Lytechinus pictus: one gene and its partners. The protein of the gene in region 2 purifies or fractionates together with the protein of the main gene of each other region. This does not show direct contact. Links are inferred from orthologs where the notes say so. Each region holds a gene or a part of one and is shown on either strand. Other genes may lie near its edges.

The links.
Region 1: the proteins of peptidyl-prolyl cis-trans isomerase E-like (region 2) and ATP-dependent RNA helicase DHX8-like purify together in Homo sapiens (affinity purification with mass spectrometry; 3 studies listed by BioGRID and IntAct, counting the BioPlex papers as one, with this or other methods). This does not show direct contact. The link is inferred for Lytechinus pictus from reciprocal best matches to the Homo sapiens genes PPIE and DHX8.
Region 3: the proteins of peptidyl-prolyl cis-trans isomerase E-like (region 2) and RNA helicase aquarius-like purify together in Homo sapiens (affinity purification with mass spectrometry; 5 studies listed by BioGRID and IntAct, counting the BioPlex papers as one, with this or other methods). This does not show direct contact. The link is inferred for Lytechinus pictus from reciprocal best matches to the Homo sapiens genes PPIE and AQR.
Region 4: the proteins of peptidyl-prolyl cis-trans isomerase E-like (region 2) and crooked neck-like protein 1 purify together in Homo sapiens (affinity purification with mass spectrometry; 3 studies listed by BioGRID and IntAct, counting the BioPlex papers as one, with this or other methods). This does not show direct contact. The link is inferred for Lytechinus pictus from reciprocal best matches to the Homo sapiens genes PPIE and CRNKL1.

The regions. Positions count from the first base shown.
Region 1 is NC_087257.1:18,521,891-18,529,341, forward strand, and holds the start of ATP-dependent RNA helicase DHX8-like, read right to left. Parts: upstream 3,002-7,451; 5' UTR 2,775-3,001; intron 1-2,774.
Region 2 is NC_087261.1:25,313,721-25,321,161, reverse strand, and holds the start of peptidyl-prolyl cis-trans isomerase E-like, read right to left. Parts: upstream 3,017-7,441; 5' UTR 2,759-3,016; coding exon 2,722-2,758; intron 665-2,721; coding exon 522-664; intron 1-521. UniProt on the Homo sapiens protein: Involved in pre-mRNA splicing as component of the spliceosome. Combines RNA-binding and PPIase activities.
Region 3 is NC_087251.1:14,776,843-14,784,388, forward strand, and holds the start of RNA helicase aquarius-like, read right to left. Parts: upstream 3,013-7,546; 5' UTR 3,011-3,012; coding exon 2,879-3,010; intron 2,295-2,878; coding exon 2,254-2,294; intron 1,387-2,253; coding exon 1,305-1,386; intron 1-1,304.
Region 4 is NC_087251.1:43,100,325-43,107,579, reverse strand, and holds the start of crooked neck-like protein 1, read left to right. Parts: upstream 1-4,255; 5' UTR 4,256-4,391; coding exon 4,392-4,433; intron 4,434-7,255. Other genes in the region: cilia- and flagella-associated protein 61-like, read right to left, coding at 1,218-1,294, 1,912-2,062, 2,795-2,940. UniProt on the Homo sapiens protein: Involved in pre-mRNA splicing process. As a component of the minor spliceosome, involved in the splicing of U12-type introns in pre-mRNAs.

The DNA of each region.
Region 1 (7,451 bases), on a different chromosome or scaffold from region 2:
CATTTGCATATTCATTTATGAGATCTCGATCTTTTGGAATACTCATGAATATTCATGCGCCAACGTTACCGACGCATGCGTCCGTAACATTGGCGAAGAACAATGAATTCTTGTTTAAAAATGAAATCGATAGCGTAGAAATGTCAGAAATTAAGTTGTATCCCATTTACATGATTTAGGGCTAGATCTTTTAGAAGGAAAGTAGAAATCGGGGCGAAAGTTTCAGGATTTTTGGTGGTACACGGACTAGACCAAAAGCTTCGTTCTCCGTTTTATTGGTTGTTCAGCTGAACTCCGTTGGCTCCACTCACCAATTACAGAGACCGAAGTTCTAACTCGATCTGTACAGGGACTCAATGGCCATATGTTTATGTATTAATTTCGGATAAATCAGGTGGGTATTTCATAAAGCTGTTTGTAAGATACGAAAGACTTTACGCGCGACTGGTGATCCTTTCTTATGCCATGTGATATCTTTATGTAATAAATGACCTAAGAACATGTTCCAGTCGTGCGTAAAGTCATTCGTAACTTTACGAACAGCTTTATGAAACACCCACCTGGCCATGGGAGTTGCGCGACAGCCAAAATCACTGTTTTTTCCCGTTTTGGTGCATTTCAGGCCAAAAAGGAATAATAATCTTTATTTTGGCCCATTTCTTTTTATATATTTTTATGAAATAAAGAAAAAAAACCTATGAGCCCCGTCGGGGGGAGTTTGCATTGTTTACCCCCTAATGGCAGCTGCGCAATAGCGAGCCGTCTGTCTACAAGGAGAAATAAGACGTGTTTAAAAAGCTCCTCGAAACAGACGGCTGCCAGCTGTCTATATATGGACATGAATGGGATGGAATTCCTGGCTCCGTGGAGAGTAAGCGTACAGTAAGTTATTCCCGGGGGGAGGGGGGCACTCAGTATATAATGCGATATGGGTATGTGCCGCGGAGGGACCCCCATTTTTACACTCAAATTTCCGTTCCAAGGCATAGCATTTTTATCTTATTGAGAAAAAGAGCATAGAAAGCCGCTCCAAAGCATAGTATTTTCTTCTTATCGAAAAAAAAGAAGAAATCAGCTCCAAAGCTTCGCATATTTTTCGTTACGCTGTTACGGCCGCATTGATCCGCTACAATGAGCTGCAATTTTGGTGAAAAGCAGCCGCAGAGCGCTGTTCCATCGCCTCTAGCTCTGCGCGAGCCCCGTGCCGCGCCGCCGGGCTAGCTGCATGGACATATGCCCGTTCCATAGGGATGCATACGCACTCACATGCAGTTGACCCGTTCCAAGGATCCCCGTTTTCACAAACATTTGTAGTTCCGAAGCCCATTCCGAGGACAAGCCCGCTCCAGAGCCCCCGTTTTTTGTCTCGCCTGCTGCACATGCATACCTACCACTTTTAGGTCGAGTACCCCCCCACTTAGACCAAAAGCTTCAGTCTCTGTATTTTGATTGTTCCGCTGAACTACGTTGGCTCCACTCACCATACATAGACTGAAGGGGATGGGGCCCCGTACCTACAGCCAACGTATAGTGAACTAGCGTTTTATAGATCGCAATTTAAAACTGTTTTTTAAGCAAAATTTAAAGTTTCATGGTTTCCATTATCAGGGAAATATAAATAACTTAAGTAATTGCATACCTTGGGCCGGAGTTATTGAAAAAATCCTCTGGATGATTGAGAAATCTGTCATCTAAGACATTTTCACCTGACCTGACGGTTTTTCTTGCAAGTTGCCATCTTGAATGATGTCATTATCGTTATTAACTTAATGTCTCGAATCGATATATCGCGATTATAACTAGTACTAGTACTAGTATAACTAGTATCGTTTATCTTCGGTTTCGTTCGCTTATGGAGCAGATCGTATAATATCGAAAGCAATATCGATATCACATTCGTGATTGTTGACGTTCGTTTGTAAATATTTTATAGTTTGGCTGCCATTTTGACCATTTTTATCGTGTTCAACCCAATTAAACATCGGTAAAGTATATTTTTCATGCCTTTTTCATCTATATCGTTTAAAGTATTTAAATGTTGTAATATCATGAATTAAAAGTTTGTTGTTTATACATCTTTAGATTGTAAATTCGATGTGTAAAATTACATCAAACTTTGGACTGTGAATTGACAAAAGGGAGGGAATGAGAACACATGCGAGCCCACACGTACACCCTACCGTCGGTAAATGGGGATTACAGTAAAATGTCAGAAATTGTTGAATAAATCCCCAGAAACGACGGTTATTCCTGTCTACCCCCCACTGCATGCACTGGGACGTCATTAGTAAATGATTTTTACTCTCTAGGAGCCTCCTGGCTACGCACACCAACCCCTGGCCATGCACCGACGCAGTCAAGGCATAATTTAGTTACTAGTTAGGAGTATATGGCCCGTTTTAGGACATGTTTTACTTTTAGTTTTACATTGTGAAAAATAATTGTCCGTGGATCCGAGTCACCGGGGGCGGGGACTTGGATCACGATAATGCCAAATTCATGTACTGACATACAAATTCACTCTCGGTGTTACATCACATCACTCACTCATTCAACTCAGTGAAACAATCGAAAATGCCAAGCTCGGAAACAGAGCTCTGACCTCTGTCCAGCTCCAACTTAAGTTGAAGGCAGGGGCGCCATCGCGATCGCGTGCCGACCCGCACTGTCCCCGTCGCGATGGGGCACAGCTGGCAGGGAGGCCCGGTGGATAACAGTGCAGTCTTAAGATTTTTGTTAGCACTACATTGACTGAACCATAAAACATTACTCACCGGAATTATGTCCTCATGATGAAGGTCTATTTCTTGATGAAGAAACGTACTTGGAACGATAAAAGCTTGTGGATAAATTGAAATGAAAACTTGATAAGAGGATACTTCTCCAACTCTCAACACTTTGTCTTCGGCGTTATCAAATCGTCGATTTTTAATACACGAAAAAGTCGTGTGGACGCAATTCTTCTGCACTAAAATTCGGCCCGACTAGTTCGCTCTCATATGGTTGCTCACTAGTACAGACTTCCTCATTATGTTTCGTCCATAAAATATGATTTGATTGAAAAATTTTGGCAAGCCCCCATTTGGATAACAAAGGTAGACAAGGGATTACATAGCTCGATTATGCTCGAAGAAGATGTACGTAACATAATAAAGTAAATCCCATTTCACCCCCTCAAAAAAAAAAAAAAGTTTAATTTTAGATCTCTTTTTTTTTTTCTTATGAGGGGCACTTGCCCCCTAAACAACAACGGGTGGGGGGGGGGGGGGCAACGGCGGCGCATGTAAATCATCGAACACCCACTCCCTAACCAATAATGACTTATAAATTGTTTGATTATTCAAGTTTTGTATTTACATTGTACGATTTGTGTCTTTTACGCGGAAGATTAACTTAGGATAATAAAAAATAAGAAAATGGATTACAAGGTGAACCCCAAAAAATCCCCTTTTTTAATTTTGAAAACAGGAAATCACGTATCCACGAAACTTTTTACACCTAGCCCCTATTCTGTTTAACATGTTTAAAGTCATATTTCACTTCTTCCACATTTTCTATATGTGAAAATAATGAATAACATGAAATCATTAACATAGCTGCATCAAAATCTATACATAAACAATTTAAATTGATTATTCCACAAGTAGACTTAAAATCAATCTGTACATATTTATTTAACAATTTATAATCACGAATTGAATAGTAATGCAATAAAATATTTTACATGTTCTAGATTCTCTCTGAATGTAATTATAAAACACTGACATACTCATAATCTATAGAAAATCTCAAGTTAGACTAGATTCCCCCTTTACAATACCATTACATCAAAAAAGAAACACACAAAGAAAACACACACTCATCCACACTTCACCCTCCCCCGTCTCCCTAAAACAATGCATAAGAAGGAAAAGAAGGAGAGAGAAAGAAAAAACAAACAAACAAAAAACACACACACACACAACCAAAGAAGCAACAACAACGCGACATTTTGACGCGAAATCTTTAAAGATCCGATTTATAAGTAATTACCTTTTATCGATTAGCCAAACCAATTTTGGAGTAAAAAAAAGTGTCACAAAATTGTGTGATTTTGTTAAATTATATCTTATTTGCATGAATCGGTATATGTTTGATTGTTAAGGACCAACTACTAGAACAACTTTTTACTCTAAACACTAGCGTACCTACGGGGGGGGGGGGCAGAGGGGGCAGTCTGCCCCCCTGACGAGCCACAACCCATGCAAAGGACGTATCACCGCCCCCCTGACGAGCTTGAAAGACCTTTTTTGCCCCCCCTGACGAACTTGAAGACCTTTATTGGCCCCCCTAACGAGCTTGAAGACCTTCTTTTTTTTTTTTTTTTGCTTGTCAAATTTTTTTCTGGTACGAAATCCTTCATTTGGGATTGAAGACCTTTTTTTTTTTTTTTTTTTTTTGCTTGTCAAATTTTTTTTTCTGGTACGAAATCCTTCATTTGTGATTGAAGACCTTTTTCTTTTTTTTTTTTTTTTTTTTTTTGCTCGTCAATTTTTTTTTTTCATTTGTGATTGAAGACCTTTTTTTTTTTTTTTTTTTTTTTTTGGCTTGGCTTGTCAAATTTTTTGGCGGACGGTTTTGCCCCCCTGTGAAAAATCCTAGGTACGCCACTGACTCTAAAGTTCTTGGAACACATGAAGGGGCGCCAGGACTTTCTGGGGGGGGGGGGCTAAATTGAACGTAATATCTTTCTAATAATAATAATAATAATATACAGTTCTTGTATAGCGCATATCACATTATGAATAATGTCTCAATGCGCTTCCAAAGGACTTGGGTATTATTACCCCAGCTGTAGCTTGGCAGCCGTAATTACTAAGATTACAGCGCACACGCATTTCAAGGAATAAATTCCTGCCATGTACCCATTCACCTCACCTGGGTTGAGTGCAGGACAATGTGGATGAATTTCTTGCTGAAGGAAATTACGCCATGGCTGGGATTCGAACCCACGACCATCTGTTTCAAAGTCAGAAGACCAACCCACTGGGCCACGACGCTCCACTTTCTTAAGTGGTACAACTCAGTTTTCTCATCTTATATTTTATATTCATTCTTCCTTCCCTTTTTCTCTCTTTCTAAAATGTACATTACAAATATTCGATCTCCCGACATGCTCATAACTACATTCATATCATATTTTATCTGATGGGCTTTATTCAGTTACCTGAGGAAATGAAATCCCAAATTATTATGAATAGGGGCCTGCACATTATCCTTCAAAGGATTGTAGCTATAATTATTTAACGATGGATTTAGGAGAAAATGATTAAACTCACATAAAAACCGCAATTAGCGGAAACCAAGTCGTATCAATATTTTCAAGGGTAGAAGAATGCTTTTCCCCCAGTCGCCGTCGCCATGCCCCTATGGGCTGAAATATTTAATTCGAATTCTGATCAATCATCCAAACGAAGGCGGAAGGAAAGACTGGGGGGAGAAATAAGCAATTCCCCTATCTCATTATAACTGGCCGATTTATTCGAGGCACAACCTTTAATTACATCAAGATAAGATTTCGTCTCCCGAACTTTTTGTACTTATAATTTGATTTATAGCATCCAATAGCATAGCAAGATTAATAAGGGGAGTGGGGGTGCACCGATGGGCCACGCCCAAATTTGGGTGCTTTCAGTAAATGACTTTGCCAAAGTAATTTACAATGAAATTCAGGGGGTGTGCTGTAGGGAGGAGTGGCCGGCGACCTTTCATGATATTACCTGTGATAATAAAAAGAAGAAGAGATAATGAAACGAAAACTATTATTTTACATCCTTTTAATGGAACTTAAAATTTGCGTTTAACTTGCTCTCTTTTATGTTTTTACTTTTCAGCGACATGTGACTTATGTCGTCTCGTTAAAAAAAGCATTGAGAACAAATAATCAGTCTCTATTAAAGGAAGCTATGCGTTAAAATACATAAAACTATATTGAATTGTAAATTAATAAGATAAGATGAATTATTGGAATTGTAATGAGTCCCAGCAACAAAAAAATATGAATAATAAAATCCCCCCCCTGCAAAATCACTTTCTGCATGACATTCAACGTACTTGCAAAAAAAAACCTTTCGATCATTTTCTGATAATGTACCTATTATATGTATTTTTTACGTTGGTATTGTATATCATCATGATCATTTATGAAATCAATAGACCAAGAAGTTGGTATGGAATTATAAATGAAAATAGTTTTAAGACAACTCTTGTGAGCTTTGATACCGCATACAACGCGTATTAGAAAGCTATTATTTCATTATCATCTTCTTCTTTTCTTATCTTTTTCGTTTTATAAGCACATCAGAGGAGCGGCCCGGTAGTCAATAGCCAATCTGGAACGGGTTTATCGCTGCGATATGATTTTAAATCTTTTTTTATACCATTCATTAAAAAAAAAACCAATAACCTTTCCCCCTGCAGCTGGTTTGTCGTTTAGTTGCAGCATCTCCCTATATAAGCCATATAATTACTAGTATTCAACAACGCTAATTATGATCCGTATACAATGAACTATATATAAAGTCTGTTCCTGGATAGGCCTCCTCAATTGAACCCATTGCAAGTCATGGGCATGATGGGTGCGACCTTGTCAATATATTTGGCAACATGTCTGGATTATAAACAGATAAATATAAACCTAAATCTTGGCCCAAGACACATGCTGGTTTAAAGAAGACACTGACATATAGCAATGTATAGGCAGTTCATGGAAAGAAGAAGGGTGCAATGAATTCGGGAAAGTACTCTAGTCAATCGAGATCAATGCACTATATTATGCAACTATCGGTCAATATAAACATTAACAACCAATTAGAAACGCTGTATGAAGTGTGCAATAATGGTATATCTTTATGTTACCGGGACTTCAATAAAAAATACTTATGAACATGTTTCATTTCAGTTGTGGAATAAATCATAAGTATACAAGGCCCAAGCAGGTTACTGTCCAACTAAAATCTATAAGTTTAGTAGTTGGTCCACTTTGAATCTTCAATGTTTAATATGTATTTTCAAAGGAATACGTTTGCCCGACGTAGCATCATCGAAATCTAAACTCTATTGGAGAGTTCATACCTCCTGTATGCGATAGAAGGTACGAGAGACGAGAGGGGTGGAGGGAAAAGCGTCTGCCGTATTGTTTCAAATTTTATCCACGTCAATATATATTACTGAACACTTTATTGTTCTTCCGTGGACCCGTGGATGCAACTGTATTATTTTCGTGACGTCACACGATGAATATCCACGGAGTGTATATGGTGTATGTCTGAGATAGCAATCAAGAATGCTACTGATGATCCGTGCATGCTGGTTTTATTGTTAAATCAAAGATCAGAGGTCCCGCTTTTGCGTTTCATATTGTATCATTTATTTTAGGTGAGTTATGCAATTTTAATTTATTTGATTACTAT
Region 2 (7,441 bases):
ATCTTTCATTGCTAGGTTGAATACTAGTGCCGACGGGTTAAATACTAGTGCCAAACACCATCGCCGTATAATTCGATCGCCCGCGCACACAGTCGACGGGTTGAAGAAAAAAATAACGGAAAAAGAATAACGGAAAAAGAATAACCAGCATTTGCTCTTGAAAATAAGACGGGTCTGAAATTCAGGTAAATTTTATATTTCTATATATTTGAGGAAACTCTCCAAACGGGTTGAATACTAGTGCCCTTACGGTACTGGTAATTCTTTAAAAATACACACATCCGTCTCTGAATCACTTTAAGCTGATCTAACCCTACAAATGTACGGTACACTTGGTTCAAATTCCTCAGTTTACCAATACATAATTCTGATTAAAAAGCGATGTGGTTATTGTTCGTTTTGGGCCTATTTCACGCCATAGTAGTCTCATCAGTGGTGAGACGCTTGGTGGTGAGAACTCAAAGGTAGAGAAACTGTTACATGTAGGTAATTAAATAAAAGAATAAATACAGGAGCTTTACCTCTGCAAACTCAAACTCTACAAAAGCAAAACCTCTGTGCTTTTCAGTCTCATAGTCAAGGGGGATTTGTATGTCCATGATATCGCCAAAAGGAATGAAGGCTGCATGAAGCGTCTTCTCTGTTACCTCTTCTGCCAATCCTCCTAGAATCCGAAGAAATGATAGTTGATACATGATTAACAAATTGCTATGGGTTTGGAATGTAGCCTTATCACAACTAATAATAATATTAATAATATAGGATTTCATTTGTATAGCGCACGTATCCACCTTGCTAGGTGCTCAAGGCGCTCCTATATTACCCCGGCTAAGCTAGTCTACCAATTCTGGTGCGCACGGCTTTTTGAGGAATTACTTCCTGCCGGTACCCATTTACCTCACCTGGGTCGAGTGCAGCAGTGTGGATTTAATTTCTTGCTGAATATCAGATAGAGTTCACGGTCTCGAAGTTCGGGTAGGTGGACCGTAGTGTAGTGGTAGTGAAGTGGAGTGGAGCCTGCACGAACTTAGCTCGAGGTACATGGGCGTTAGATTGTGCTGTTGCCGTGTTGGGCATGTGCACAAATAGTCATGCGTGAATTTGCCCCAAGTGTTCTTGCATATTATATTTTGAGTGGTTCGTTTAGCGGTATCTTAACATTTTCTGGCAGCCGAGACCGAGTTGATGGTCTATCAATGTGACATGTTTCCATGGCTCCTCCGAGAGGCTCAACACAGTCCCAGGGTAGCGAGCATGGTGAGGGACCATTTCTTCTGTGTATTTTTTTGGCACATAACCACAATCTAGTTTGCTATTTTTCCAGAAGTTATAGGGAATTTGTGTAACTTTTAAGTAATTTTTATTATGTTTTAGCCTTGAAGATCATTTTTAATTTATGTGTTTTTAAATGAAGAATTAAGAGCTTTCTAAATTTTGTGGTCCTTGCTAAAAAAATCTTGACAAACTCACTCATTCAATTAACAAGGTTATGATATAACCTTGTTCTCAGTTACATCTCCATGTTGTGTGGCAAAAATAAGGTAGTGCCACTAGTGGCAATTTTGGATTATTTTCTCTTTTTCTATGGGACAAATGCTTGTTTTTTTTACACTGTCAGTTTCCAATACAGCTATTCATCATATAACTTGGCTCTTATGTAAATTTGATTCTTTAAATCATTTTTTCTTAATCAAAAATAGAGATTGAAAAATGAAAAATTTCTTGCCATGTTAGTTACTTTCCACCAATAGAGGGCTTACACAAAAATATGCTCAAAATTCAAGTTTTTGAGCACTCTGGTGAAAAAAAACAATTATTCCCACGTTACTAATGAAAAATAAATTGCAACTGTATGAAAATTAGTAATTTTGGTCACAAAAGTGATATTTTAATGATTTTTTTAAGTATGTGCTATGTACAGCATTGGCATACCATAGACTAGTTCTACCCACTTGTTCACTGCAACCACCCTGCCTGTGGGGAATCTACAGGTTGGACTATGGCATGCCAATGCTGTACAGAGCACACACTTTAAAAAATGATTAAAATTTCACTTTTGTGACCAAAATTACTAATTTCCATACAGTTGCAATTTCTTTTTCATTTGTAACTTGGGAATAATTTGTATTCACTAGAGCGCTCAAAAACTTGAATTTGGGGCATATTTTTGTGCACGCCCTCTATTGGTGGAAAATAATAATATGGCAAGAAAATTTTCATTTTTTAATCTCTATTTTTAATTAAGAAAAAAATAATTTTAAGAATCAAATTTACTTAAGGGCCAAGTTGTATGACGAATAGGTGCAATGGAAACTGTCGGTGTAAAAAAAATCAAGCATTTGTCCCAAAGAAAAAGAGAAAATAAGCCAAACATTGCCATCCTTATTTTGCCACACACATGACATGGAGATATAACTGACAACCACTAGGTTATATCATAACCTTGTTCATTGAATGAGTGGTTCTACCTGTAGATTCCCCACACTCCACAGGCAGGATGGTTGCAGTGAGCCAGTGAGCAAGTGGACAAACTCAAGTTTTTTTCAGGACAAGCAAACACACAAACCATCATATGGGACTACGTCTACGAATTAGTACACACGTATTTATTCTCAATTATATATTGCCATTTCATTTTCATAAGTAATGAAATAAATGAAAAAATATAGACGTCCCTTCGATCAATAGCAAAAATCATTGGGAAATGGATTAGAAACTCACCAACGTAAGCGATTCTCTTGGTATTTGTTGACGACATGACTGATTACGCTTCGTATCTCGCTCGATTGACTAGTAAACTACGGTAGGCACTTATGATCCAAGTTTGAAAGGAGACTCGTAAAATGACGTCAGTCTCGCCGATGAATATTCATTAGATCGTGGTCGTGCGTGTTCAATACACACTGCGTGCAGGCATGCAGATACTAGTAGTTATATGCGAGGAACTTTGGCTCCAGAGACAAGTTGTCAAATAACGTGTGTGTGTGTGCGTGTGTGTACCATCGGCTGGTAGTATGCCATGCTGTCTAAGACTTCAAACGCGTCGGAGAGAGTGCATGGCAATTCGGTAAAACGAAGTTTCCGATATAAAGAGATAATAAAATAACACTATGTACAGTACGCCCGGGGGGGCCACTTACATTGACGAGTGGATACCATGCGCGACCAAAAAAAACACGTAAAAAGGATGTATTTTTCAAGAGAGGGCACGTTACGTACGTAACGTGATAAGGGTGTCAAAAACACAAAAATATTGAAAAAAGGGTATCTATTTCCAGTACGTTGAGAGGCAAATGTCAGACTCAGATCAGGGGAGGCAGGAGTACAATCAGGTTTTTTTAAAGGGAAGAATAGTGTAGAATAAAAGGTATTATATATAGCCAAATGATCTAGGTGAGGGAAGTGAACAATGATGTTTTTTTAAAAAAAGAATGAATATACCTTACCTGAATATTATGGTGAAGCCAATTTAAAAGGAGGTGAGACAAGTTTCAATGGAGGTTTTAAAAAAGAATAAACTGTATTATGGTGAAGCCAATTTAAAAGGAGGTGAGGCAAGTTTTAATGGAGGTTTTTAAAAAGAATAAACTGTATTATGGTGAAGCCAATTTAAAAGGAGGTGAGGCAAGTTTCAATGGAGGTTTTTAAAAAGAATAAACTGTACTACAAATTATGGTGAAGCCAATTTAAAAGGAGGTGAGGCAAGTTTCAATTGAGGTTTTTAAAAAGAATAAACTGTACTACAAATTTAAAAGGAGGCGAGGCAAGTTTCAATGGAGGTTTTTAAAAAAGAATAAACTGTACTACAAATTATGGTGAAGCCAATTCAAAAGGAGGTGAGGCAAGCCTCAATGGAGGTTTTTGAAAAGAATAAACTGTATTATGGTGAAGCCAATTTAAAAGGAGGTGAGGCAAGTTTTAATGGAGGTTTTTAAAAAGAATAAACTGTATTATGGTGAAGCCAATTTAAAAGGAGGTGAGGCAAGTTTCAATGGAGGTTTTTAAAAAGAATAAACTGTACTACAAATTATGGTGAAGCCAATTTAAAAGGAGGTGAGGCAAGCCTCAATGGAGGTTTTTGAAAAGAATAAACTGTATTATGGTGAAGCCAATTTAAAAGGAGGTGAGGCAAGTTTCAATTGAGGTTTTTTAAAAGAATAAACTGTACTACAAATTTGAAAGGAGGTGAGGCAAGTTTCAATGGAGGTTTTTAAAAAGAATAAACTGTATTACAAGTTATGGTGAAGCCAATTTAAAAGGAGGTGAGGCAAGTTTCAATGGAGGTTTAAAAAGAAATAAACTGTACTACAAATTTAAAAGGAGGTGAGGCAAGTTTCAATGGAGGTTTATAAATAGAATAAACTGTACTACAAATTATGGTGAAGCCAATTTAAAAGGAGGTGAGGCAAGTTTCAATGGAGGTTTTTAAAAAGAATAAACTGTATTACAAGTTATGGTGAAGGCAATTTAAAAGGAGGCGAGGCAAGTCCGTTTTTAAAAAGAATAAACTACTACAAATTATGGTGAAGCCAATTTAAAAGGAGGTGAGGCAAGTTTTAATGGAGATTTTTAAAAAGAATAAACTGTACTACAAATTTGAAAGGAGGTGAGGCAAGTTTCAATGGAGGTTTTTAAAAAGAATAAACTGTACTACAAATTATGGTGAAGCCAATTTAAAAGGAGGTGAGGCAAGCCTCAATGGAGGTATTTAAAAAGAATAAACTGTATTATGGTGAAGCCAATTTAAAAGGAGGTGAGGCAAGTTTCAATGGAGGTTTTAAAAAAAGAATTAACTGTACTACAAATTATGGTGAAGCCAATTTAAAAGGAGGTGAGGCATACATATGTAATGTCTTTCAAGCTGTATGACAAAAATATTCTTTTCCATCCAACATCAGCTTCTACTATTTTTTAAGGTTAGTTTTTATTGTCATGTTGGCAAATTGTGAAATAGTTCATGTTGAAATTACCTGTCATGCATTTGTAATGTTATTTTTTTAGAATATATTCTGTCATCATTTTCAGTACATAAAAGTTTATTCAATGTATGCCTTTACCAAAGTTGGCCATAAGCACAGTGGGTACCAACTATCACTGAAGACAACACAACAATTACTCAAAATATATGCATAGCCTTATGAATGTACAAGTCAATAAAATCTACTATGACTACATAGCTTTTTTTTGTGCAACACAGTCATATTTCATTTGGATCAATTCAAAATTGAGTGGTGTTTTGGGGGTAATGATATGGTAACTGCAGTTCTGTTGTCCTCTGACAGTTGGTGTTGTAAGGATGTGATTGGCAGTGTGTGGACGTCATGTTATAAGAGAAAAAAGTTAAAGTGAGAGTGTTGGCTTTGAAATGGACTCAACCTATGAAAGTTAAAGTTTGTGCTGCAGAAACTGGTGTGGTAGTAGGATGATAATGATGATGAGGAACAGGGCCGGTATTCAATGCTACTCTTAAAGCCACAATTTCAAGTATATTTTACTCAGTATTTTGCAAAAGTAAAATACTTATCCATCTTTGGTATTCAATTGCATTTTTTTTGGGCTAAATATTTTGCTTAAATGTAAGTCAGCCATCTACTAGACTTAAGTCTACATATACAAAAATGATACGCACAGAAATACATTCACACATTTGGCACTATTTGGCTCAAAATTTATAACATCACAATGGGTATTAGTATTTAGTTCAATTTGGATAAGGTAAATTCTGAGATCTGATCTGCATACAAGTTTAAGCATTTTGATAAGCCAGCCAAATTGCTAAGTAAAATACTTACAAAATAAAAACTTAGAATTTAATAGGCGGCCGAGGTATTATTTTCTTCCAGAGGACATGTACAGATTTCTTGTTGACAAAGGATGACATGATGATTATTTTGCAAATATGGCTTATTAAAAAATATATTATGTATATTCCATTTCAGTGACAATTGCATTTTTGGGGAGGGGATATTACGTATTTGGGAATGGAAAAGTTCAAAATTAATGCAAACTTAACCTATTTACGCAGGGGGGGGGGGGGGGCTCTGAGCTCTGCGATTTAAAAAAAAAAGTCTTTTGCATGTTTTGAGACCAGTTTTGCGAAGCCCGGGTACTGGGTTCTGAAAATTACCAAACAATTTGTAAGTGCATATCAGACAAAAATGGCTCAAAATTGTGATATTTGTGTACCACGTCAATGGAATATGCGTTTTCAACCAAAATTCATGAATGCCTAATTGTTTTTAGTTTTGTTGAACTAAACTGATTTATTTTATGCTGTTACGAGAGTCCGAGCATCGTTGAAAAATAACAATGCAATACAAAGGTAAAAACACAAGAAATACATTATCGAAGAACACCACAAAGAGTTTCTAAACCAAAAATTAGAACATTTGGAGCTTTATTTAGGGAGTTAGAGGAATAGGTATAGTATACTAATTATGCACAAATGAGCATAATCAATTAATAGCAATTTGCATGAAATAAATAACTACACAATTTTGTGGATTATTAAAAGCAATTGCGAACTTTCTCTTCACTATTCATTGTTTTTAGAAACCTCATTGAAAACTTGCCTCATGCACCTCTCAAGATGGCTTCATCATTTGAATTATATTCTACACTTATCATTCTTTAAAAAAAATCATTGTAGACATATGCCTCACCTCCTCTCAAATTGCCTTCACCATAACTTGTAATACAGTTTATTCTTTTTAAAAACCTCCATTAACTAATTACCTCACCTCCTTTTAAATTGGCTTCACCATAATTTGTAATACAGTTTATTCTTTTTAAAAACCTCTATTGAAACTTGCGTCGCCTCCTTTTAAATTTGTAGTACAGTTTATTCTTTTTTAAAAACCTCCATTGAAACTTGCCTCACCTCTTTTTAAACTGGCTTCACCATAATACAGTTTATTCTTTTTAAAAACCTCCATTAAAACTTGCCTCACCTCCTTTTAAATTGGCTTCACCATAATACAGTTTATTCTTTTTAAAAACCTCCATTAAAACTTGCCTCACCTCCTTTTAAATTGGCTTCACCATAATTTGTAGTACAGTTTATTCTTTTTTAAAAACCTCCATTGAAACTTGCCTCGCCTCCTTTTAAATTTGTAGTACAGTTTATTCTTTTTAAAAACCTCAATTGAAACTTGCCTCACCTCCTTTTAAATTGGCTTCACCATAATTTGTAGTACAGTTTATTCTTTTTAAAAACCGCCATTGAAACTTGCCTCACCTCCTTTTAAATTGGCTTCACCATAATACAGTTTATTCTTTTTAAAAACCTCCATTAAAACTTGCCTCACCTCCTTTTAAATTGGCTTCACCATAATACAGTTTATTCTTTTTTTAAACCTCCATTGAAACTTGTCTCACCTCCTTTTAAATTGGCTTCACCATAATATTCAGGTAAGGTATATTCATTCTTTTTTTTTAAAAC
Region 3 (7,546 bases), on a different chromosome or scaffold from region 2:
ACGGATGGGAGTTTTGGGTAGCAAAACACATTAAGAAACAACATTTGATAGTAACTGACAGCTGTCTAAACCATCAAAAAAAATTCTGATAGATTAAATGCACATTAGAGAGAATTCATGAATTGTCATTGACTAAATATACACTTCAGGCAACACAGTAGATTTTTTAAATAATTTATAAAAGAATGCATTCAACATGAAAATACCTTTAATTGGCCAGAGAGGGAAGGGGCTGCAGTAGTGGTAAACATGGTAAATGAGCTTTATATGTGGACTGTTTAAAGTCTCTGAGGGATTCCTGTGAAAATTGTCACACAGTCCCATTCCGCTTGAAAATTATCTTTATACTTCAAAACGTATTTTGTCGTCTTGGTCTTGGATGACTCCATCTCCATGATCTCCATGGTCACTGGCGATGCGATTGTAGTGTGGATAAATCGGGGCGGGGCGTGCTTCGCACAGCTCAGCCAGCCAGCACCAAGCTAGCTCACTCACGAAAGAGAAAATGTTCGTATCCGATCAACCCAAGTGAAAGTAGGCGAAAAAATCTCCACTTTGCTTCTGGTTCTTTAGGATTGTCAATAAAATTTTTCCTGAAACTGAAAGTCGGGGTGTAAAAGTAATCCACTTGTTAATCCCATCGTTGATCCACAGTTTCAGCTCGAATAAAGCGCACACAAGCTTACGAAAAATGCCTCTCAGTGCTCGTGAACTTCCCTTATCGTAGCTTCCTGGCGCAGCGCGGCCAGCTGGAGCCGCACCGGGGCGCATCGGGGGCCATGTGCATGGAGTACCGCTGAAGTGTTTTCATCACACACATTGCAGAACCCGGAAATAAAATGGCTTGTTAGAATACTTCACCAGTCGTTCAGTAAAATTATCTTCATTTACATTGGAAATCAATGTACGATTATACAAAAACTGGTAAAAGTTACTGGGTAAAATGAAAATGTGATAAGGAGGTTCCATGTGGGTGTTAGGGAGTTGAACATGCTAGACTCGTAAAACAGTCTTTTGTATGAATTTCGCAATTTAACAGCTAAAAATCCTGATTATCCAGGAGATTTTGGCATGAGGTCGGGAGAACGGGAGATTGGATCGCAATCCAGTATTCTCCCGCAGGATCCGGGAGACTTGGAAGCTCTGTAGTATGTACAACAATTCATTTTAGAGTTTTAATAAACCATTATTTGTGTAGAAAGGCCTTTAACGTATATTTGACACATCTCGGCAAGTAAAAAAAAATTCACACAGCATACTATTATTGTAAAAACAAGTTTTCATTTCCATCAATTGTGTCTTACCTTTTCAGAGTCATAGTTTGGCCATAAGTAGTTTTCAAGATATTGGCTGAACTCGAGCACCATGATACGACGCGCAGCAAACCTGCATGTAAACAAATGTTTAAACCATTAGAATTGTGCAAAGAAAATTGAGGGGGTACAAATAAATTGAGCATTCTACATCACACAGGTGACAACTTGTTTTTTATTGATCACACCTTTATAATTTTCTTATCATCTTCTAATTATTTTTATGTATATTCAATCAAACTCAGACGTCTCTTTAACACAACCAATACATGAGTAAGGTAAACCTTAAACACTACTTTTTTCACATCATTTGTTTTAAATGAGATTCAATTAAATTCATTTTATTTATTACATATATTGCAATTTCAAAACATATAACATTAAACACAGGTGGCAATTCAAGAAACTTGAGCGTTTTGAAGGTTCTCTCATACTGAAACAAAATAACATAACAAATAAAAAATACAAATTATACAAAGAACAAAATGATAGTAGACTAAGAAACAAATTAAAATTTAAAAAAATAACATGTACAAGAAACAGAAAGTGCATATATTAACAGAATAGGCAAGAAATTTTGAATATGCATTTTATAGTCAGTGTCAAAGGAATTACAGTTTTTATTTCAGTGCTTGGACAAGTGAAGTGGTAATTGGTTAAGACTTTTAACAATACTGAAAATAACAAAGATAATCAAAATTTTAATGGAACATTTTTTTCCAATTTGGGGCATTACAAGAAACTTTTAAATTGCAATCAATTGCAAGTGAAATCAGAAAAAAATCCATTTAAAATCTCAAAATCTATTATAAATCATGCAATCATTTACAATTATGTAATTGACTGCTTGTCTCCTTCATCCCTAAAATGCTATCATATCGCTTGTATCGCATTCTATTAACCTTTTAACAAAATTCCCTTAGTGTCATTTTGATCTTACTTGTTCTTCAAGAGTTCTTTCTTGTAAACATCTTCAATCACCTAGTGAATAAAAGAAAAGAATACATACATCTTGACATTTAAAATCAGAAGCATTTTCTTAAACATTTTGAAGGGTTTTCAAAGATATTCATTTTGCGAGAAGGGTTTGAAATTATTACAATATGAATGGAAAATTACAAAAATGGCATAAAAAGACTGTCCATACTGTCATTTATTTTACGTGAATAAAATAATCTTCAAGCACAAATAATATCTGAATCATTTAAGTATGAATACTCTTGCTGCTTTCAACTTATAAACAAACAGAACACCAATGATAGTCATTATGAGTTCATTTATTTACCTCTGTTTCTTCTCCTTTGTATGAATGTCCACTTCTTATAGGTAGGAATAATAGATTTCACTTGTTGTCTTCAGTTTACATCTCTTTATTAAAATCCAGTACCTTAATTTAGTTTATAATCTCAGGGAATGGGTGGTAAGAACCAATAAAATGTATCATACATCATTCCTGATTCATACACATTCTGGTACAATGGATTATTTTTATCAAAACAAAATGAAGAAGAGTTCTGCACAGCAATCATCTACTATTTTGGATTTATTTATCTCCATATGCCTACCTTTGGATCATAGGCCAAGTGTGGTGTAGGACTATTTGGAGCCCAAAATCGACTGCCAAGCTGTGTCAAAAAGTCTGCATTAAGCTGCTCCACTGTAGGAGCATAACTCTTCCTTTTCTGACTGCCACTCATCTGTAAAATACAATCAATACAGAAAAATAGGTAAAAAGTGAGTACATAAATTGTTTTTAATAACATTTAATATTGTTGGCAATTCTAGCCCATTATTCAAACCTTTAGTTTCATTCCACTAACCTCATTTTCCCCTCATTTTCAAAAATATTTTAAATGTTAGACACACAAGCCTTCATAAATTATATTGCCTGTTCTATACACACAAAAAAAAAGTCCCCCCTAAATCAAAATGCTATAACTTTTGAACAGAATAATTTTTGAGATATAATATTTCGTAGGTGGTTTTTAACACTCACTAAGCAACTCCTGGGGGAAAATGAGATTGATCGGTTGGGTCATACACGAGTAATCAAAGATTGAATTAAAAATGACAATTTTTTAAAGTCACAAGAGTCGTTTTTCAGATAGTGTTAATACAAAGTTGGGCAAAGGTTGTTTTTTGTGAATTTTATGGTGTTAACGTTGTTTTACTATCCATCATTTAGCCACTCCACACAAAATTTTGATAATGTATGTTCATGGTTGAGTGAGCACATTTTTTTTTCTCATAGGGGTTTATGGTAGTATCCTATGTAACTTGTTAAAACATGTTAAAATTGGAAAATGTAAGTGGCTCCCCTCCCCCAATTTCTCGGCACCTCCCCACTTTCAACTTCTGGATCCACCACTGATTGGTCTATAAATTCAAATGATCCTGAGAAATTGTTAGGAAAAGAATACATTTATGCAGTAAAAAGAGTATTAATTCCTAAGTTTTTGAGTGTGCTCGCTCAACCATGACAGTGTAAAATGTTCGGAAAGTGTGTGGTGATAAAAACAACACAAATTAAGTTACATTTGAAACCGAATTTGCCCCCATTATTCACTTTATAACCCCTCAAAATGTGTATGTGACATTAAAATAATGTCGCACCAACGCATAATGTCACAGATTGCGACTTTATGCCAAGAGCGTCCGACGCATGTCGCAGTCAACGCATAATGTCGTAGTTTTTCTAACGCATAACGTCACATGTCGCAACGCATAATGTCGCAGCAAAGTGTCAACGCATAATGTCACATGTCGCAACGCATAATGTCGCAGCGGTTTTTGCTTCAGGACCGTCGAGTTACAGATAAGATATAAAATATGATTTAACTCAGTATATTATTCAAATACTTTCATCTGAATATTTTGAAAAGTGTGTGCGAGGGTGTGTGAGTCAGTGTGGTGGAGGAATAAACAGTATATATACATGTATATATACAGTGCGTCCCACAAAAAACGAAACCGAGATTTATCATAACTTAATCACAAATACAATAGACAAATGACCTACCATTGTAAAGCTTAGAATCTCCTCTTTCATCTGGAATTACTTAGATTATTTCTCATTCACAAATGAGTGAGCAAAAACAATTTGAAGAGGGGATACCTAAAAGTCATTTGGCGGGCTGTATCTGGGTTTCAAAACGAAAACCCCATTTTTAAAAAGTTCAATATCTGCTCTTTAATTTGATACCTCTATTACAGAAAATGGTCAAGAAATAACAAAGTTCTGGTTATTTGAAATAAGGCTTGAATTTCAATAATTTCATAAAATGAAGAGGTTTTACAGGCTAGCGTTCAAACTCACTCGACACTCCGTTTTGTTGACGATCAGCCATGCATTAAGTCTTTTGTTAACCATGCGATAGCTTCTGTGGGGAAACCGGTGAAAACACGTTTATCTAATGAAATTATGGAAATACAAGCATAGTTTCGAGGGAACATAACTTTTTTACTTCTCGACCAACCAAAAAATTACTTTTTTTCTTTCCAGGGCTCTTTTTGGAGAAACTTAAAAATTTTCCAGGGCTACTTTTTTATTTTCCAGGGCTCTTTTTCCACTTTCCAGGGCTACAATTTCTGGAGCTATTTCGCGGCTTTTTTGCGTTTGTGTGTGTGTGTGTGTCTGTGTGTGTGTGTGTGTGTGTGTCACATTGAAGGGATGCTGGTCAGCAGTGCAGGGCTGCTCTGCTGCAGGCTCTGCTTTAACAAGATGTACTGTACATGCGGTGCGTTCAACGCTAGCGGGCGTGTATATTTTGCTTATTACATGACGTCATCCAGCCACTGCCGAGAGCCAATTTATGAATGAAAATATAGTAAGCATGCGCAGTGCAAGCCTTCCATAGCCCCACACAGTATTCCACCAAAACAAGTGTACAATACTCTATCACCTCGCACCAAAATCGACCTAGAATTTCACTTTCCTATAATTTATATGAATTATGAAAGGTATTCTCGGAGGATCTATTTTCTCACCGATACCGAACAGGTAAGCGAATTTCGATTACTTCTTGATTTTCGGTCAAAATCTTACGAATTAGCGTTGATATAGCATCGTGGAGTTTGTAGAGTCTATCGCAACGTGTACAAAGTCAATTGATTTCCGGGTTTCGGATCCGGAGCGTCGCGTGAATATGCATGAAATTGCCGAGTCTCGATAATTTTCGATCGATACTGGAGCGATCCGATCACGAACCAAGACCATTTCCCGCGTAGACAATGTGACCGGATATCGTTATCGCTATCGATACTTTCGCACGCAGTCCGAAGGAATTATTTTGGCGACCACGTAGTCATGACGTGATCTGCGCGATTGGCCAATCAGCGGTCTCCGATTCGCTGAGCCGAGACGGTCTATTCGTTGTACACAGTCTATGGACAATTTGCCACTGTGAAATATACAGTGTTGACGGGGGCGATTATGAGTTTTGCAGTCGCCCTCGTGTGAATGTTTTTAGTCCTTTTCTGGGGCTCTTTTTGGACTTTCCGGGGCGAATTCGCCCGCCGCCCCCGTGTAATTTTTTGGTTGTTCTCGACCATTTTTTGTGATAAAGGTATCAAATAAAAGAGCAGATATTGAACTTTTTTAGGCATGTGAATTTCTTTTTGAAATTCAGATACCCCCCGCCAAATGACTTTTTGGTATCCTTTCTTCAAATTGTTTTTGCTCACTCATGCGTAAATGAGGAATAATCAAAGTAATATCAGATGAAAAAGGAGATTGTCACTTGGTCTAATTCACATTGCCACTTCCCCCCATCCATTTTAAGGAGGGGGCGAAAAAGTATTTTAAAAAACAGAATGAGAAAATAAGACGAATGACTACGAACAAAGTATTAAAAAAATACATGATTTGATGGCTTTGTCACTTTTGGAATCCCCCAAACACCTTGGCCTCATTCCTCAAATATTTCATATCCTATAACAACATCAGTCTTGGACCTGAACCCTATCTACCCCCCCCCCCCCCCCCGAGCCTTTTTTTTTTTTTTATATCAAGGAGTTTGAAAATAGCAAAGAAGCAAGAAAAAAAAACAGAAGCAAAACAAAACAATACAAACCCCCTTCCAACCCAATGGCATGTGTCCCCCTACCCTCTACCCCTCACCATAACCCCCCCCCTCCCATGCCCTTCGTTGTCACAACTCTCCGTTCTACTCGTGTGGGGGAGGAAGTAACTTGTTCCTTCCTTCTATGAATGGTAAGAATGAAAAAATATATATATATATGTACATATATATATTTATGAAATATACTCTTATACCTTATAGCATTCATTAAAAAAAATTATTATTGTTATTATTATAAACAAATATCATTTATTTCATTTATTTTTTATTCTTATTTTATTTTTGCACTTATTTATCAATTATTTATTATTTTTTCTTTATTTATTAATTTATTTATTTCATTAATAAATTAATTAATTTATTTATTTTTTATTATTTTTCTTGCACAGTAGATTTATCAGACAGGCCTTTTCAGTCACTTTTATACCCATTTTGTTCCAAAAGCACGCAATCTAAATGTTTGCGCTCACTTTGCTCGCTCGCAAGTTCACTAAATATTTAGCGAGGAACACATTTCCCATTATTTCTGAGCATTCATCAGAAGGAAATACATAAATAATCGAGATATGCTTGAAAGGATTATATTTTACTTCTCAAAACATAATGAATCTTTATATTTGGGGTGCCCCCCAAACCCCAATTAAAGCCCTATTGGTATCACACTACCACATCCACGTGCGTACTCATTATGGAACCGGATTTACGTCACTGAGAAATGATTGCACAAGTACTCAAAGGAATTCGAAGATGGAGGCGGTCAAAGCTTTTTGCTCATAGTGACGATACGTAACATATTTTCTTCAGACTAATCATCCCTCAAAAGGTAAGAGTTTGTAAACTATTCTTATTGTGAATCTTTGTTACATTCAATACTGAATTCTTGCACTGTCATTCTTCTGTCATGTTGAATTTGCTCTTCTATATCACCTACACACAGTTTCTTTTTAGTCCAGGCCTTTGCACTAGACCTAGTATTGGATTAACGAAGATATCCCAGGGGGGCATTGCCATTACACCAATGACAGCATGCTTTGTACGACCTGTCCATATAGTAATAATGACACTAGAGGGCGTACTCTTACGATTGATGTTGGGAAAGTCAATGGGAGGTGCCATGGCTGGGTCTAACCCACACGGCGAATCACTCTAAAG
Region 4 (7,255 bases), on a different chromosome or scaffold from region 2:
CTATAGATATGGTTCAATCTTTGTTAAAGTGAGAGCAGACTGAAATACCGCTGTAAATGTGGCCCCTCATTGAGTTTGTGTCTCAAAATTTACCTTTTCAAAAACCTAGAAATAATAGAGATTAAATCAGCCTGGAATTTCACTTGTAAAGAGAAACAAAATGTTTTGACGGAAATGTATTTATTTGGCTACTTGGTAACAATGCAACAGTGTCTTGTTGCATAAAAAGTTACTATTATGGTACCATTCAATGGGAACTTTGCTGAAATCCTTGATTTTGATTGGCTGTTGATCAGCGTCATCATGGTAATTACCATTGGATGGTAACTTTCATGCAACGGGACCCAGGTAGTGAATGTAATAGTGCGTTATTATTCAAGTGAGACGATATCAGAAGACTAAGCTTCTCAGAATGTTGCAGTGTGGGTAAACTTTAAAGCATTGATTTGAGTAGTTGAGGACTTGATGTGGCGCTATACAAGCATGCTGGTTTGAACTGGCTTTAATATAATAATATAATTTTGCATTGCTAAGAATGGAATATACTGTATATATGTATTTTTTTCTTTTGAAAAGATAGGTAGTAAACCTATGGCAGCTGTGTTTAATGGCTTTGCTGAAAAAAATGAAACTTTACGAATAACAGGGTTTCATTATACATCTATCCTCAATAATAATGATGATAATAATAATAATAGGCATTTAAATAGCGCCAGCTATCTACAAATAATCTGTTCCGGGGTGCATTATGTATAATTATTATTACCCCCAGCTTTAGCTTGAGCTGCCTTTCAGCGCTCAGTACATTCAAGGTATTGATTCTACTGGGTGCCCAGTCACCTCACCTGGGTTGAGTGCAGCACAATGAGGGCAAATTTCTTGCTGAAAGAAAACACACCTTGATTGGGATTCGAACCCACGTCCCTCAGATTGAAAGACGAGATTCGTAACCACTAGAGTACCACGCCCCCACATCTTCCATTCTTTCACTACAGCTCCTTGATTTACATGCATTCTTCATTAAATGATAGAAGGATGTATTAGGTAATGTATCAGAAAAAAATCAAAGTGAAAAGAATACTGATATATATCACAACTCTTTAAAGGTGAAACATATGTCCACATAATTTGGAAAATGCTAGGTTAAACAAGTTAAAGTATCCTCAATAACAGGTATTTTACAAGAGAGGCTAAATGCTTTAAAATGATGAACTTACCTAATGATCTCTTTAGCACTCCCATGGGCAAATGCAGGTTTGGCCACAAAGTAATGTAGAAACAGTGTGTTCAAGGGCTGTGAACAAAATAACACACACACTTCCCTAATGAAGTATCATCATGTCTTGCAGATAACTGGACATATTTCACATTTAACTTTATTATAAAAAAAAAGGATTATTGGCAAATGACTCGAAACATAATGCTTCTGTTAACCACTGGCACTTGGACATTTCACGAATATGATCATCAATTCAAAGCACATACACATTTCAGACACATTCCCAATATATATATCTAATATATAAATGGTTTCATTTCTTTGAGAAAGATCTGGATATCCATCATTCACATCATCATCAATACATGTATATAACTGTAAGCACACATAAACCAAATAGTGAAGAATTTTTTTTGTGAGATAAATTTGCTTGAAGTAGGCACTGGTATAATGAGATAAAACAGATGCTTAATGAACCATTCTACATCAGGCAATTTTGTTTTATTTTGGGGGCTACTTTTTTTAATGAATTTCTAATTCTGCAACCTTGGATTAGCTTTATTATTGCAATGAATGGAGATTTCCAAGGCTCTTTTCTGAGTTTCTAGGCCTCTTTTGAGCTTTTTGGTGGCAAAATCGCCTCAAGCCCCCGTGTAATTTTCTCCATTTTACACCACGTATGATGAACTTACTGTGCATGCTTCTGTATCATAGTATGTATTGAGCCATTGTTGCCATTCCCCGTGATCTACAGAATCCACGTTAGGATAGTCAAAGAACGCAGCATGGGCAAGGATGTCTTCTCTTTCATTGTTGAGGGTCACTGCCAGGACTGCTTTTTCACTGTATGTGAAGCAAAAATGTAATGTGAAACAAGAATGTAAGTAAATAAAGTATAATTCCTGTCTGACATCTTCACAAAATAATGAAATATGTGAATGCAAGTTGTGTTCAGAAATTCAAATGTATACAAGATTTCATTCATTTTGTTCCATTTTCTCTCAGATTATTCCCATTCTTTTCAAGGCCATGAAATTTTACACCATATTTTATAATTTCTTTTATTTTAATGGACTTCAGGTACTGGTACATGTACAAGATAACACATTCAAAGCTTGGTCTGTTGAAGACTATTATGGAGCAATAGATCAATGAGCTCAATGATCGGATATTTTACTGTACATATAATAGGTAGTAGTAAACAGATAATTGTCTTTCTGTAGAATTCTTTATCAACATTGACATTCTCAGACTTTCCCCATCAAGGCTATCAGTTTCAATATTGATATTGATTCCCAAGAAAAGCCATGACTGATGATATTTCTTAGTTATTGTGTGTGGCTTCTAATAAAACCCAATGCATTGTAATAAAGCTTTATTCCTTGTAGCACTTTGAGTGTCAGCACCTTGGAAGAAAGTAAACAAACATGTAAACCTACCGATCGAAACTGAATGAACAAAATAAAAAAATCACTGAATTTATTTAACATGATACAATGTGATAGCACTATACAAAAACATACATCATCATTGTTATTATTTTTATTATTACATTCATAAATGTGAAATGCTTACATGATATTCACAACATCCACCAATCCGAACTGTGGCTGAGTTGATTTGGTAACCAGCTTCAGGATATTTGGAGCATCAAGTGATTCTGTTCGTCTAGCATTGATCACTTCGGTCGGTCCATCTGCTGACTGGACAACAGTAGCCATTTTTACTTTTTCCTGCAAGACTAAAGAGATTCAGATTGATTACCAGGTGATAGCTGTGTAGGCCTATTCTATGTGTCACTGAGAAAGGAACATAAGTCTTAGAAATAATTCTAGTCTATTATGAGAATGAGGAAACCCATCGTTATTTTTAGTGAACACACGTTGTCCACAGCTTCAAGAATTTACTAACAAAAAAAGTTAAATATTAGAGATACGAACGAGTGAAATTAAACTTCGATGCTGACCCACCGAAACAGGGCATGATCACGCCAACCAAGTCAAAGAACATAATTTGGATCTGAATAAATATAACATCGACTCCGACATGAGCTGCTTACGTACTGGATCATGATGGATGCTACTTCAGGCGATAGTTCGTATATAGGCTCCACTACGCTTCACTAGCTACTGCTACCCTCCGCTATATTACCTGAAGGTTCAGGTACATGTAACTGTTAGGTGTAGCGGAGGGTAGCGGTAGTGAAGACTGAAGTGCAACTTAGTGGAGCCTACACGAACCATCGCCCGAGGTAGATCTAGACAGTTGACGGTTGACGGCTGACGGATGCCAATGTTTTTTGCCAATATTGGCCAAATTGGGGGATTTTTTTTTTTTGAAAAGAACTTTCTCAACATTAAAGTTTAACTGATGATAATTTCATGATTTTGAACCTCCCCTCCCGGCTCCCCTGCCCCGCCCCCAGTCGCTCTTCTTGACCGGTTTAAGGGATCTTAACTTGGTTGAGCTCTGCGGCCTTCTCAAGTTAGGTCCTTGGCCTGGGTGGGAGTCGCACGATCACGACACTCCAATGGCATAGACAGTCCAGACACCAGCAGCGGCGGGAAGCAAGCACACGCGCGGTCACGGGCCCCGACTGGCACTCTCTGAGACTGTCGACGCGACGTCCACGGTCGGTTAATTCAAACATTCCATTCTTTCACAAGGTTTTTATTCACATTTATTAATATTCAAAATCACGCATACACAAACAGAAATCAATACACAAGGACATTATATTGAATTCATTATATGAAATAACATACACACCCTTATTCTTAACTTCTACAAAATTGTGTTCGATCCGTGAAAAAAAATTAAAGGGTGAGATCTAGCATATTTTTAGCGGCGGTAGCTCTATGGCAACAAAACTCTTAATTATGTGACTAAAAAAATACAACTACATATTTAAAAAATAATAAAATCTTGTACAAAAAATTAAATTTATCTTTTTTAATATTTTTATGGCTACGATTTAGAGGTTATGAATGCATGTAAGAGTTATGAATATTTTAATACCTTTTTAGTTTTTTATTTACTCGAACAAGCCATATTTCAAAGCGCCATCTCCGTCTAACTGCTTTTTGTAGATTCGCTTCCGAGGAAAAAAAACTGAAAAAACTTGAAACTAATCGACGATTTTCATGGTCTTGACGCTCATACTATCATAAACATGGCTTCTTCTAGCAAAAGTAAAGTTCCCAAAGTTGCGAAGGTAAGTTTCCTTTAAATTGCTTCATTCAATAATAACTAAATAATTGATTGCAATTTCTCCAAAAAATATAACACGCTATGAATGTGAACAAAGATCAGTTGTTATTCCGGTCAGGATAAAGTTAGGGTAAACTCGTATCGTCATTGATGTTTTTCTTTAATTTACATGTAACGTTAGAGTAAAGTGGCCAACAACAAAAAATAATTGAATCAAATAAAAATCGTGTTTATTTCCTTAGTATAAATGTTGAATATTTCCATTAAAAAATAAAAATGCAAATTGAAAAAATGATGATGGTTAACAGAATTGCATAATTATTTAGGATGGGGTAGCCAGGCGGCTTCAAAGTTAGAGAGTAAAAATCATTTACTAACGTAAGGTCACTCTCGTACGAAGCCAGGCCTTCTATCCCATAGACCCACACAATGGAAGCCAAAACCTGAAACTTTCACCCCCGAGATTTCTACTTTCCTTCTAAAAGATCTAGCCTTCTAGGCCTAGCTCTAATTCTAAATCATGTATGATGGGGGGACCTAAAAGCTACGCACTTTGTTTTCAAACAATAAAAACTATCCCAATTTTAATATTTCAACAAATATCTTTCACTAATTTGTGGCAAACATTCTAAAGATCATTAACCAAGAAGAAAATATCGCAAAACTCACTAATACGAAAATCCCGCCGTGTTTTCCGAACCGGTATTTTATAGATGGCAAATATAGCGATCTTCAACGCTTATATATAAGCGTCGAAATTTGTAGCCATCTCCTTGTATTAGTCTATATTATACGACGTGTCAAATTGTAGCGAACTAGTTCGCTATTTCCAGATCTCCTCTATATATATATACACGACGGGAAATTGTAGCGTGTAGCGAACTAGTTCGCTATTTTCCAGATCTCCTGTATATACATACGATGGGAAATTGTAGCGAACTAGTTCGCTATTTTCCAGATCTCCTCTATATATATATACACGACGGGAAATTGTAGCGAACTAGTTCGCTATTTTCCAGATCTCCTATATATACATACGATGGGAAATTGTAGCGAACTAGTTCGCTATTTTCCAGATCTCCTCTTAACGACGGGAAATTGTAGCGAACTAGTTCGCTATTTTCCAGATCTCCTCTATATACATACGATGGGAAATTGTAGCGAACTAGTTCGCTATTTTCCAATTCTCCTCTATGTATACGATGGGAAATTGTAGCGAACTAGTTCGCTATTTTCCAGATCTCCTCTATATATATATACACGACGGGAAATTGTAGCGAACTAGTTCGCTATTTTCCAGATCTCCTGTATATACATACGATGGGAAATTGTAGCGAACTAGTTCGCTATTTTCCAGATCTCCTCTTAACGACGGGAAATTGTAGCGAACTAGTTCGCTATTTTCCAGATCTCCTCTATATACATACGATGGGAAATTGTAGCGAACTAGTTCGCTATTTTCCAGATCTCCTCTATATACATACGACGGGAAATTGTAGCGAACTAGTTCGCTACAATTTCCCGTCGTGTATATATATATAGAGGAGATCTGGAAAATAGCGAACTAGTTCGCTACAATTTCCCATCGTATACATAGAGGAGAATTGGAAAATAGCGAACTAGTTCGCTACAATTTCCCATCGTATGTATATAGAGGAGATCTGGAAAATAGCGAACTAGTTCGCTACAATTTCCCGTCGTTAAGAGGAGATCTGGAAAATAGCGAACTAGTTCGCTACAATTTCCCATCGTATGTATATATAGGAGATCTGGAAAATAGCGAACTAGTTCGCTACAATTTCCCGTCGTGTATATATATATACAGGAGATCTGGAAAATAGCGAACTAGTTCGCTACAATTTCCCATCGTATGTATATACAGGAGATCTGGAAAATAGCGAACTAGTTCGCTACAATTTCCCGTCGTGTATATATATATATAGAGGAGATCTGGAAATAGCGAACTAGTTCGCTACAATTTCCCGTCGTATGTATATAGAGGAGATCTGGAAAATAGCGAACTAGTTCGCTACAATTTCCCGTCGTGTATATATATATAGAGGAGATCTGGAAATAGCGAACTAGTTCGCTACAATTTGACACGTCGTATAATATAGACTAATACAAGGAGATGGCTACAAATTTCGACGCTTATATATAAGCGTTTAAGATCGCTATATTTGCCATCTTATAATTTCCCTTTCCGAACACCTTGATTTCGCCACCCGATGTAGAAGGGGTCCTAAAGCTACGCACTCGATTTATCATGCAAAAAAATAGTATTTCCTGTGCCTCAATTTCTAGAATATATTCATAATATTTTAGGATAAAATGAAATTTAAGTGAATATAACTCTAAAATTCCAAAAAGTTTTTGGTTTTCTCTGCATTTAGAGATTTACTGCAGCCTCTGTAGAAGAAAATGAATAGGAATCGTTCGTCACACTGCAGTCACAGTTCCACACACAGAGTGCGCATTTGCCATTAAAAACTGCATGCGCGATTAGTGGTGCATAGCTTTAGGACCCGCGTAGCTTTAGGACCCCCTACCATACATTGGATAAAACTTCATTTCCGACATTTCTACACTCTCGTTGTTATTTTTAAAACAAGAATTCATCAAAAAAATGAAAAAATATTGTGAAAAGACGGAAGAGACTTGCCCGATGTTTACGCCGCCATCTTGTTTCTTATTGTACTTCCCCAACGTTACGCGACGCTCGCGTCCGTAACGTTGGGGAAGTACAAATTTTACTGCACACAGCAAAATTTTTTGCCCTTTTCACCGCATTCACAACACCCAAAAATGGTCATGGTTTTGAGAGAA